Linked DNA regions of Drosophila melanogaster. The protein of the gene in region 2 interacts with the protein of the main gene of each other region in a biochemical or structural test. Each region holds a gene or a part of one and is shown on either strand. Other genes may lie near its edges. The genes, in order: sgg and Khc.

Region 1 (3,922 bases), on a different chromosome or scaffold from region 2:
GTGAATTTGATTTTTCTTTGTATTCGATTGCGCTTGGTGGTGTCCTGCGATCGGCGACCTCCAAATGCGTTTTTCGGTTTATATATTGCGTGCACTTGGCGCTGCTCCAAATCCGCCATCCATAATTTATCAATGTTGTTTATAATTGAAGAAAGGCAAATTAAATTTATCTGTAAATTCGGCTACGAAATTCCTTGCGATCAACCAAAATAATAAACTCAGTCTAGCAAGGGCACAGACCTCATTCATGTGCGTGCAATACTTTAGCTTAGCTATTCTCGTAAGGTGGTTGTCTCAATTTATTGTCAAAATTCTGTTCTGCTTTAAATGCCAAAATTGTGTTCAAAATCTTTCGTCAAATATTCCAATAAATTAACTTCAAGGACGGACGGCCATCACCTTTTAGCCTTATTATCATTAAACAAAGCGCTACTTTCGCAAAACCATCGTTGCTATTTTGACTTGACCACAAGTCACTAGAATCAGTAACCATATCGGCCAACAAGAAGGCAGCTAAACAAGGACCCACTCGCGATGTGAAAGTCAAGAGCACGGCCATCGAGAGCGGCCCCTCCAAGCCCCCGCCGGACAAACATCTGGAGCGCCAGTTTGTCCAGTCGGTGAATAGTTAGTGTCCGGTCGCTTTGTTCAGCTGAAGTTATTGCTAATTATTATTAAGTTCTCGTAACTAATTTTGAATTTTCTTCTTCATTTTCTTTCCAGGTAAGTTGACTATCATATTACCAAACTTCCTATAAACGGGTAAGCAAAAGTCTGTTCTCCCACATTGAAGTCTATATATATATATATATGGTGATAACTGCTAAAAGCAAACTTATAGATTGTAATTGTTTTTAAGTGTTTAATTAGTTTATAAGTAAAAGCTACGTATATGTAAAGCTAGCCTAATTTCGCAGAATTTGTAGCTAGTGTTGCCCAAATGGGTTAAGTTACATGAGTTTATGTTATTTTGTTTACAAATGAAATTTGTGGAAATATGTACCAATACAGGGTTTAAGATTTCGATTGTGGCGAACATTTATGGCTGTGGCCTTGGGACTTGCATACTTTCGGGCGGCGCTCGTAATGAACCGGCTGCATTTTTCGATGCTTTCGCAATTAGCGGTGGTTAAAAGACCTCGCCACCCACATCCCCACCTCCCACATTCCCCACCCACTGAATTTTCCACTCTTTAACTCTTCTGTTTTTGTTTTGTTTTGTTGACTCATCGGCACGCGCGCTCTCATTTCGGCCTCTTTCTTTATCTCTTTCTCGGTTACCTAATTTTTGCATAAGTCGCGTCGCCGACACATGAGAAATTCCGGCGCAGCGTACTAACAAATACGCACACACTCGCACACTCGCACATGCAGCTAGCACACTCACGCACCGCATGCAAATTAGCTGTCCGCTGACTAGAAATTCTTTCGCGAGCGCTCTCTTTCCCGCCCCTTTGCTCTGTGTGCTCGCTCGCTCCCCACACGCCGCACACGCTCCCCCGCTTCCTCCCTCGCCGTTCGCCGTCCATGTGACGATCAATTTTAGCGCACATTGGGGCAAATGTGTGGAGCAAGCTGCCAGCGATGCTCTCTTTCGGGTGAGAAACAACATAAATACTTCTTTCATTTAATTCCATTTCCATTTGAGAAGCGAAGCAAAGCTTTCGGCCCACCGTGCAACGTTCAATGCTCCGGTACAGCTGCGGTCAGTCAGTTAGAAATCAAAGTTATATCAAATGTTCCTTGGAAGAGACCAAAAATGATGTGTCATGCCTTAGTAGAGACAAACTTACCTAGAAAGGTGCCTGTATTTATAAACTGGTGTTGACATTTATTTAAAGTTGTAGAAATATTGATTAGTTAGGTGGTCCTTCCGTTGCGAGCGCTGCTGTGCTGCGGGACGCCGGCGCAGGCGCTGCTGCGCTGCCGGCGACGCTGTCGGCTGATGTGAATGTGATGTAGATGCCCATGCTTCGACTCGCTCACTCGCGTTGAATCCATCGAGCAGGCGCGTCGTTCTCTCCTCTCGTTCCGGCGCGTTCCATTCAGCCATTCCGCGACTCTATTTGCCTGTTGTTTTTGTAGCTTTATCAGCGACAAAAAAAAAAAAAAACGAAACGAAACAAATATAAATATAAATAACAACGGCGAAACAAAAAGTGAAACAAAATCGTGACGCGCCTGATTACTTTATTTTTTGTGTCAACAGTGTGTGCAGTGTAATGTGTCTCCAAAAGAAAAATAAAAATTAGAAACTAGTCGAATTCAATATGCATTGAAATCTAATTAGTTGCCGCATTGTTGTTTTTGCCGCCTGACACCATTAGAAAATCACGAAAAGAGCTATCAACATGGCCTAAAGTGACCAATGAATTGGAGTTTATTTCACGGCGTTGTGAAATATGCTCCAACTTTAACCCAAAAACCCACACACACTCATTGCCAATGTATTAATGTTTTTTTTTATTTTTATTTATACTTGGGGGAGATGTGTATTTTTTTAGTGGGGCGAATGTTCTAGAAAGCTCTTTAAAGTACCTCGATTTGTGTGGGAATCTAACGCTCGTTGTTTGCCCCTTCCTCGCAATAGTTGTTTGTGAATATGTTGCGATGTATACGTATCCACGATTTCAGTGCATCTTCACTACCAAATCCAAGAAGAAGAAACTTAAAATTCATCAATGGAAAAGTTTTTGCAATCCCCCTGTCTCGCTCACTTGCTCTGGCCCCCTCAATCGCCGCTCTCTTTCCGCCGCAAGGCGCACAACAAGTGGCAAACCGAAGCGGCGGCGTCGTCTTCAAACCAGTTTTACTGTAGCGTTGTTGTTGCTGCTTCAGCTTACACTGAAAAAATAACGCAGTCAATAACGCAAATTAGTCCATAGCTTGTTGGTACCATTTCGTTTGTATATTTTATAAGCACATTTTGTAAACAGGAATTAATGGAGAATACGCAACACAAATCTAAGGCACGATTTCTAAAAAAGTTTAAATGATGTGGTGATTAATGTTTGTTTATTTATCACGACACTTAAATTGTTCTCTGTGTAATTCTGCGGCTGCTGCGTCTCCGCGATAATTGGTGCGGAGGTTGCCCCTTCAGCCCTCCCCCCAAACTCCTCCATCTACCATTCCATCTACCGTTCCGCCGATCAGTATTTGCTTTTATGGGCAAAAGTTCTTCAATGAGTGGTCACAGCATTTGTGAAGGGAGGGGGGCGGAGGGGGCTGCGGTACGTGCATGCAATTCCTTATTGGCGACAATGTTGAAATGTGTGCGCCTGTTTGAAGGAAAACACCAGAGATCAAACCAATAGCTTTAAAACTTTGATTGCCTTTTGATTAAAGCCATGTGGAACTTAGTGCCATCACCGTTATTGGGCAGATTCTAATTGGTTTTCCAAGTAAGATGCTGAAAATGCAATTTTTTCTCGTAACGTTAATCGGTGAACAGGGAATCCCCCTCATTGATCTCCCAGCGCAGTGGAGCCAAAGTCCTAAGTTTTTTCAGCATGGATGACAGTGCCTATTAGTGTGACCGCTGGTGTTTGTGGTGGCTTGGGCCAAAAGTGAATTATTCATGTTGTTGCTGCTGTCGCTCTGCCAGTGGAAAATTCCCAAAAAAAATTCGCATGAACTGCGCCGGCTGCTCCTCCGCTCCTCCGCTGCCCCACATGCTTCTCCTTCCACTCGTTCTTCTTCTTCTTTGAGTGCCCCCCAAAGGCAAAAAGTCGGAGTCGAAGTTACTTGGTGTGTTAGTTGTTGTTGCTCTTGCCCACTCATTCGCTTCGGTTTTTTTTTATTTTCTTTTCTTGTCTTTAACATTTTTTCTTTTTATAAAAATAGCACAGACGAAGAAATATTTGCACACACACACACACACCACGCACACACGTGTATTGTAGCATTTGCTAATTTTCTT
Region 2 (3,922 bases):
GGCCAGGACATCCGTAACAATGGACTTGGCCGCCTCATTGTAGACCTTCTCCTGGGATGCATTCGGTTTGAAGACCTTGTCGAACAAATACACCTTGCCCTGCAGACGATGGAGATTAGGTTTAGTATAATGTGTTTTTTTCTTTAGTACATAGCAGCCAGTTACATTAGCTATAAACTGGTGTCAGTTGCGGTGAAATTTCTTTCGGAGATTCATTCCCCCTGTCCCCGATCTTTTCCCGCTGACTGCCTTTGAATCATTTTCAACGCATGGCCGCGAAGCAGATTGTAATTATGAGCATTAAGACATGTTAAGTGGAAGGGGGAAGAATAGTGAATAACGAGCGCCAGAAGAAAGCCACAGCGAAAGAGAGATAGATAGAGTTAGTCAGAGAGAGAGAGAGAGCGTAATGATAATGTCTGTGTATGGAGGCACTATATTAGTGCTGACTTTTTTGGAACTGGTTCAATTGCCCAAGCTTTACCAGGAATATGACGGATTACACCTGGCGGAAAAGCGGGAAATTCAGCATAGCATACAAAGCAATAACATTTCATGTGGCATAAAAGCAATACAGCCAAATTCCATTGCCTCCAAAGTTGCTCTTATTGTTTTTCCTCATATTTTTTTTTTTTGTATGCTTTGCGTGCATGACTCATTGGCGCGCGGACAGGGGAGTGGAAGTGGAGCGGGGGCTACCGTCAATGTGTGTATGTGTTTGTGTGGAAATGTAAGTGAGGTAAGCACTGAAGGCGGACTGGAAACTAGAAAAGCGCATATTTATGCGGCCCAAAAGAATGGAACACCCGCTTTTAGCAGAAAACCGTCTAGTGGGTGGCATTTCTCCACCCCGTCATCGCGCTTCTTTCGATTTACACACCCTATTCTTTTTCGACTGGGGGAAAATCAATTTGGTGCAAAGCAATATTGATTTGGAGTAAAGTTAGTTGGTTTCATCATATACATGTATATGTACATCTAGTTTTGTTTTGTGCAATTATTCATGGGTAACTTTAGTGCCTCTCTCTTTTTATCGCCTGGCATTCCAATTGGTCGGCAATTTTGGGGAAGGGTAATGTACGCTAATAGGCATGACGTCATGGCGCGGCACGCCGAGATTAATGCATAACACATAGGGAAAAGGCACTGGGGGCTGGCGAAAACTATAGATCTGGAACACATACCGCTATGGATATGCAGTTCTCCTCCACATTGTTGGGGAACTTGACCACGAACTTGGAGCCGGCCTTCTCTTCGCTGTCGTTCAGCGGTCGGAATCGGCAGACCACTTTGATGCTGTCCTCGGCGGGAATCTCTCGTTCCGCGGACATTGCTTACAGGGCGGAGATAGATCTTTCTGGCGGAGATTGTTGGATTTCTGCAGCTCTGGGCGCGACCTCTGCGCATGCAGCTCACTGTTTACGTGGATAATCAACGGACTCGCTATCGTCCGCACTATCTGCTGTTCACTGTTTGCTTGTGCCGATTCTGGTACTCCGTTTGGCCCCTTTTGTTCCGATTCTCTGCTGATTCCGACACACTCGCGAAAATTGGGTTGGGGGCGGCTCAAATAAGAAGATGCAGTGAAAATTTTGTGGTTATACCAGACACAAAAGTTGAATTGGTCAAATGGCGATAACGCTGGAGCGCAACCTCGATTCTGACTGCTCCGCGTCGTACTGTTTTGCACTTTTTTGCCCGGAATGATTAAGTGCAGCCGCTAAATGCACTCGCATACGTTAGTAGGTCGGAATTAGTTGCACTCAAAACTATTTTATTATTCGACTATTATTTTCGCTACTGTGCGCCAGTGTGACCGTTCTGCTCGCCCAGCTAAATACCAATCGCCATTTAATTGCACAATAATACTGAATTAATACTCTCAAAAGCTTCGAATGTATGAGACACCCTGCAGATCTTGAAAATGGTAACGGCATATAATATTCCTAATTAAGCGATACCGTTTAAAAATCATTCAAAAATTATTCAAAATTGCTTGTTTATTGTCACTTTTGTTTTTCCTGTCCAAATATTTCGGCTTGGGCGCAATATATAGCTCCAAACTAGGCATACAACCTCTGTAGGTTCAATAGGAAAACGCTATGGAAGATTGATCACCGAGTCGCTGGAAAGGATTGTGGAGAACAGAGGGGCACGATGGCACAGAAGGATATTACGTCGTATTTGAATTTGGAGCGATTGAAGAAGACGCAGAAGCTCATCCGACTTTATCGATCGAACGAGTGCCTCTGGAATCCAAAGTCACCTGGTTTCCATAGTGGTTCTGCGAAGGATGACGCCTGGCGACAAATCACCCGGCGGATGAACTGCGGCCTGACTCCTGACCAGGTGGAGCTGCAGGTGCTCGGTCTGCGGCACTACTACTCCAAGGAATTGGCCGCCATCCGAAATAGTCAAATTGAGGGTTATAGTTATAGTCCAAGGTACTCCTACTTCGAGGACTTGCATTTCTTGGGAAACTTGGAGGTGAGTGGATGGTTTTTGCACTGGATATTGAATAGTGAACCATTATCTTCTATTTTTACACAGGAGGAAGCTAACTGTCCCATTAAGGAAGGACATTTCCCACCCAATTTTTCGGAGGACACATTCATATCGCCTCTAGCTTTTTTAAGTCCCAGCTGCAGTGAAACCAGGTGCGGGTACACCTTCTACAAGATGATTCTAGAGCCTGAGCCACCAAATGAAGAGTTCTTAGGTGTGCACCATGAAAGATCTACGTCCGGCAATGATCGGTGGTATCCCACTGCGTACTGTGTTCGTTGCAAGCCAGAGGAAGACGAAGATCCTTGTGAAGCGTGCGAGCTAAGAGGTCAAAGCAGTCGTCCTCAATTCGGAAGTAAGAGCTCTTTAGAAGGCGGAGAAAGCGGCAGTACCAACCCAAGGATGTCTAATCGGTATCAGGAACAGGATCAGTCAAATAAATTCCAAAAAAGTGATAGCAAACAGTATCGAACTGGGAAACCATGTTCATGTCCCACGAAAGACAACCCAGAAAAGCGTTCATCGCAAACGCAACAAAATGATGTGTACGTCGGTGCTGACAACTGGGATGGTTACGAGTCCGTCGGCAATGGTATACGCAGCGATAGATGGCCAGGTCCCAGACTATGTTCCCAAAAACGCGGAGAGTGGAAGCCCAGGTTCCGTAAAGTAATCGGCGAGGACAATCAGAAGTCGTGCTGCGACAGCTGGAAGCGAAATAATAATGCCGTGTGCGGGAGACTTCTAGACCAGTTGGCCAAGCAACAGAATCAACCCGGCAGTTACTCCGACGATGGAGACTCCGTTCGGAATCAAAGCTGCGGCTGTACGAAGAATCGCCGCCAGTCAGGCGAGGATCAGTTAAACGTAATGCTGTTGCAGAAGAAGTATAGGGATCGGACTTTGTCGAACAATGCAAACAATCCTACCACCGATCGACACAGCAACACTCAACCGATTTCGGATCAAACTTACTATAACACCAGCCATCCAGTTCCGAACTGTTGTTACTGCACTTATAACCAAGTAAATCAAGACGTTCAGCGCTGCAATATCCATGGATGCCAGTGCATTTACTGCAATCAAACTGTGCCTCCCGCCCACGGTAACTACTACCAACCGCATCATGTCGATCAGAATGCCAGGAACTATTCTCGATCAGCTCCACCAGACGCTCCATATGATGAAACGGTTTACCTGAATGACTACGGACGATCTATGTATCCGGAGCCACAGCATGTGTATTGCATCAATGCGGAGGATGCGCCCACAGATGTGTGGGTACAGGCACAGTCCCCAGATGCCTCTACTAACCCATCCCAGATGCCCATGGCACCGCCTTCAAAGTCTTGGAATCAGGAAAAGGCAACTCGGCCGCTTCAGCCAGCCAAAAAAGGCAATGCCACAGCACCGCCAC

The links.
Region 1: of the proteins of Khc (region 2) and sgg, one has a biochemical effect on the other in vitro, tested with the Drosophila melanogaster proteins (one study listed by BioGRID).

What each region holds. Positions count from the first base shown.
Region 1 is NC_004354.4:2,644,653-2,648,574, forward strand, and holds the start of sgg (shaggy), read left to right. Parts: upstream 1-1,984; 5' UTR 1,985-2,219; intron 2,220-3,922.
Region 2 is NT_033778.4:16,270,155-16,274,076, forward strand, and holds the start of Khc (kinesin heavy chain), read right to left. Parts: upstream 1,818-3,922; 5' UTR 1,332-1,817; coding exon 1,185-1,331; intron 100-1,184; coding exon 1-99. Other genes in the region: CG33017 (uncharacterized protein), read left to right, coding at 2,158-2,487, 2,551-3,922. UniProt on the Drosophila melanogaster protein: Kinesin is a microtubule-associated force-producing protein that may play a role in organelle transport. Milt and Miro form an essential protein complex that links Khc to mitochondria for light chain-independent, anterograde transport of mitochondria.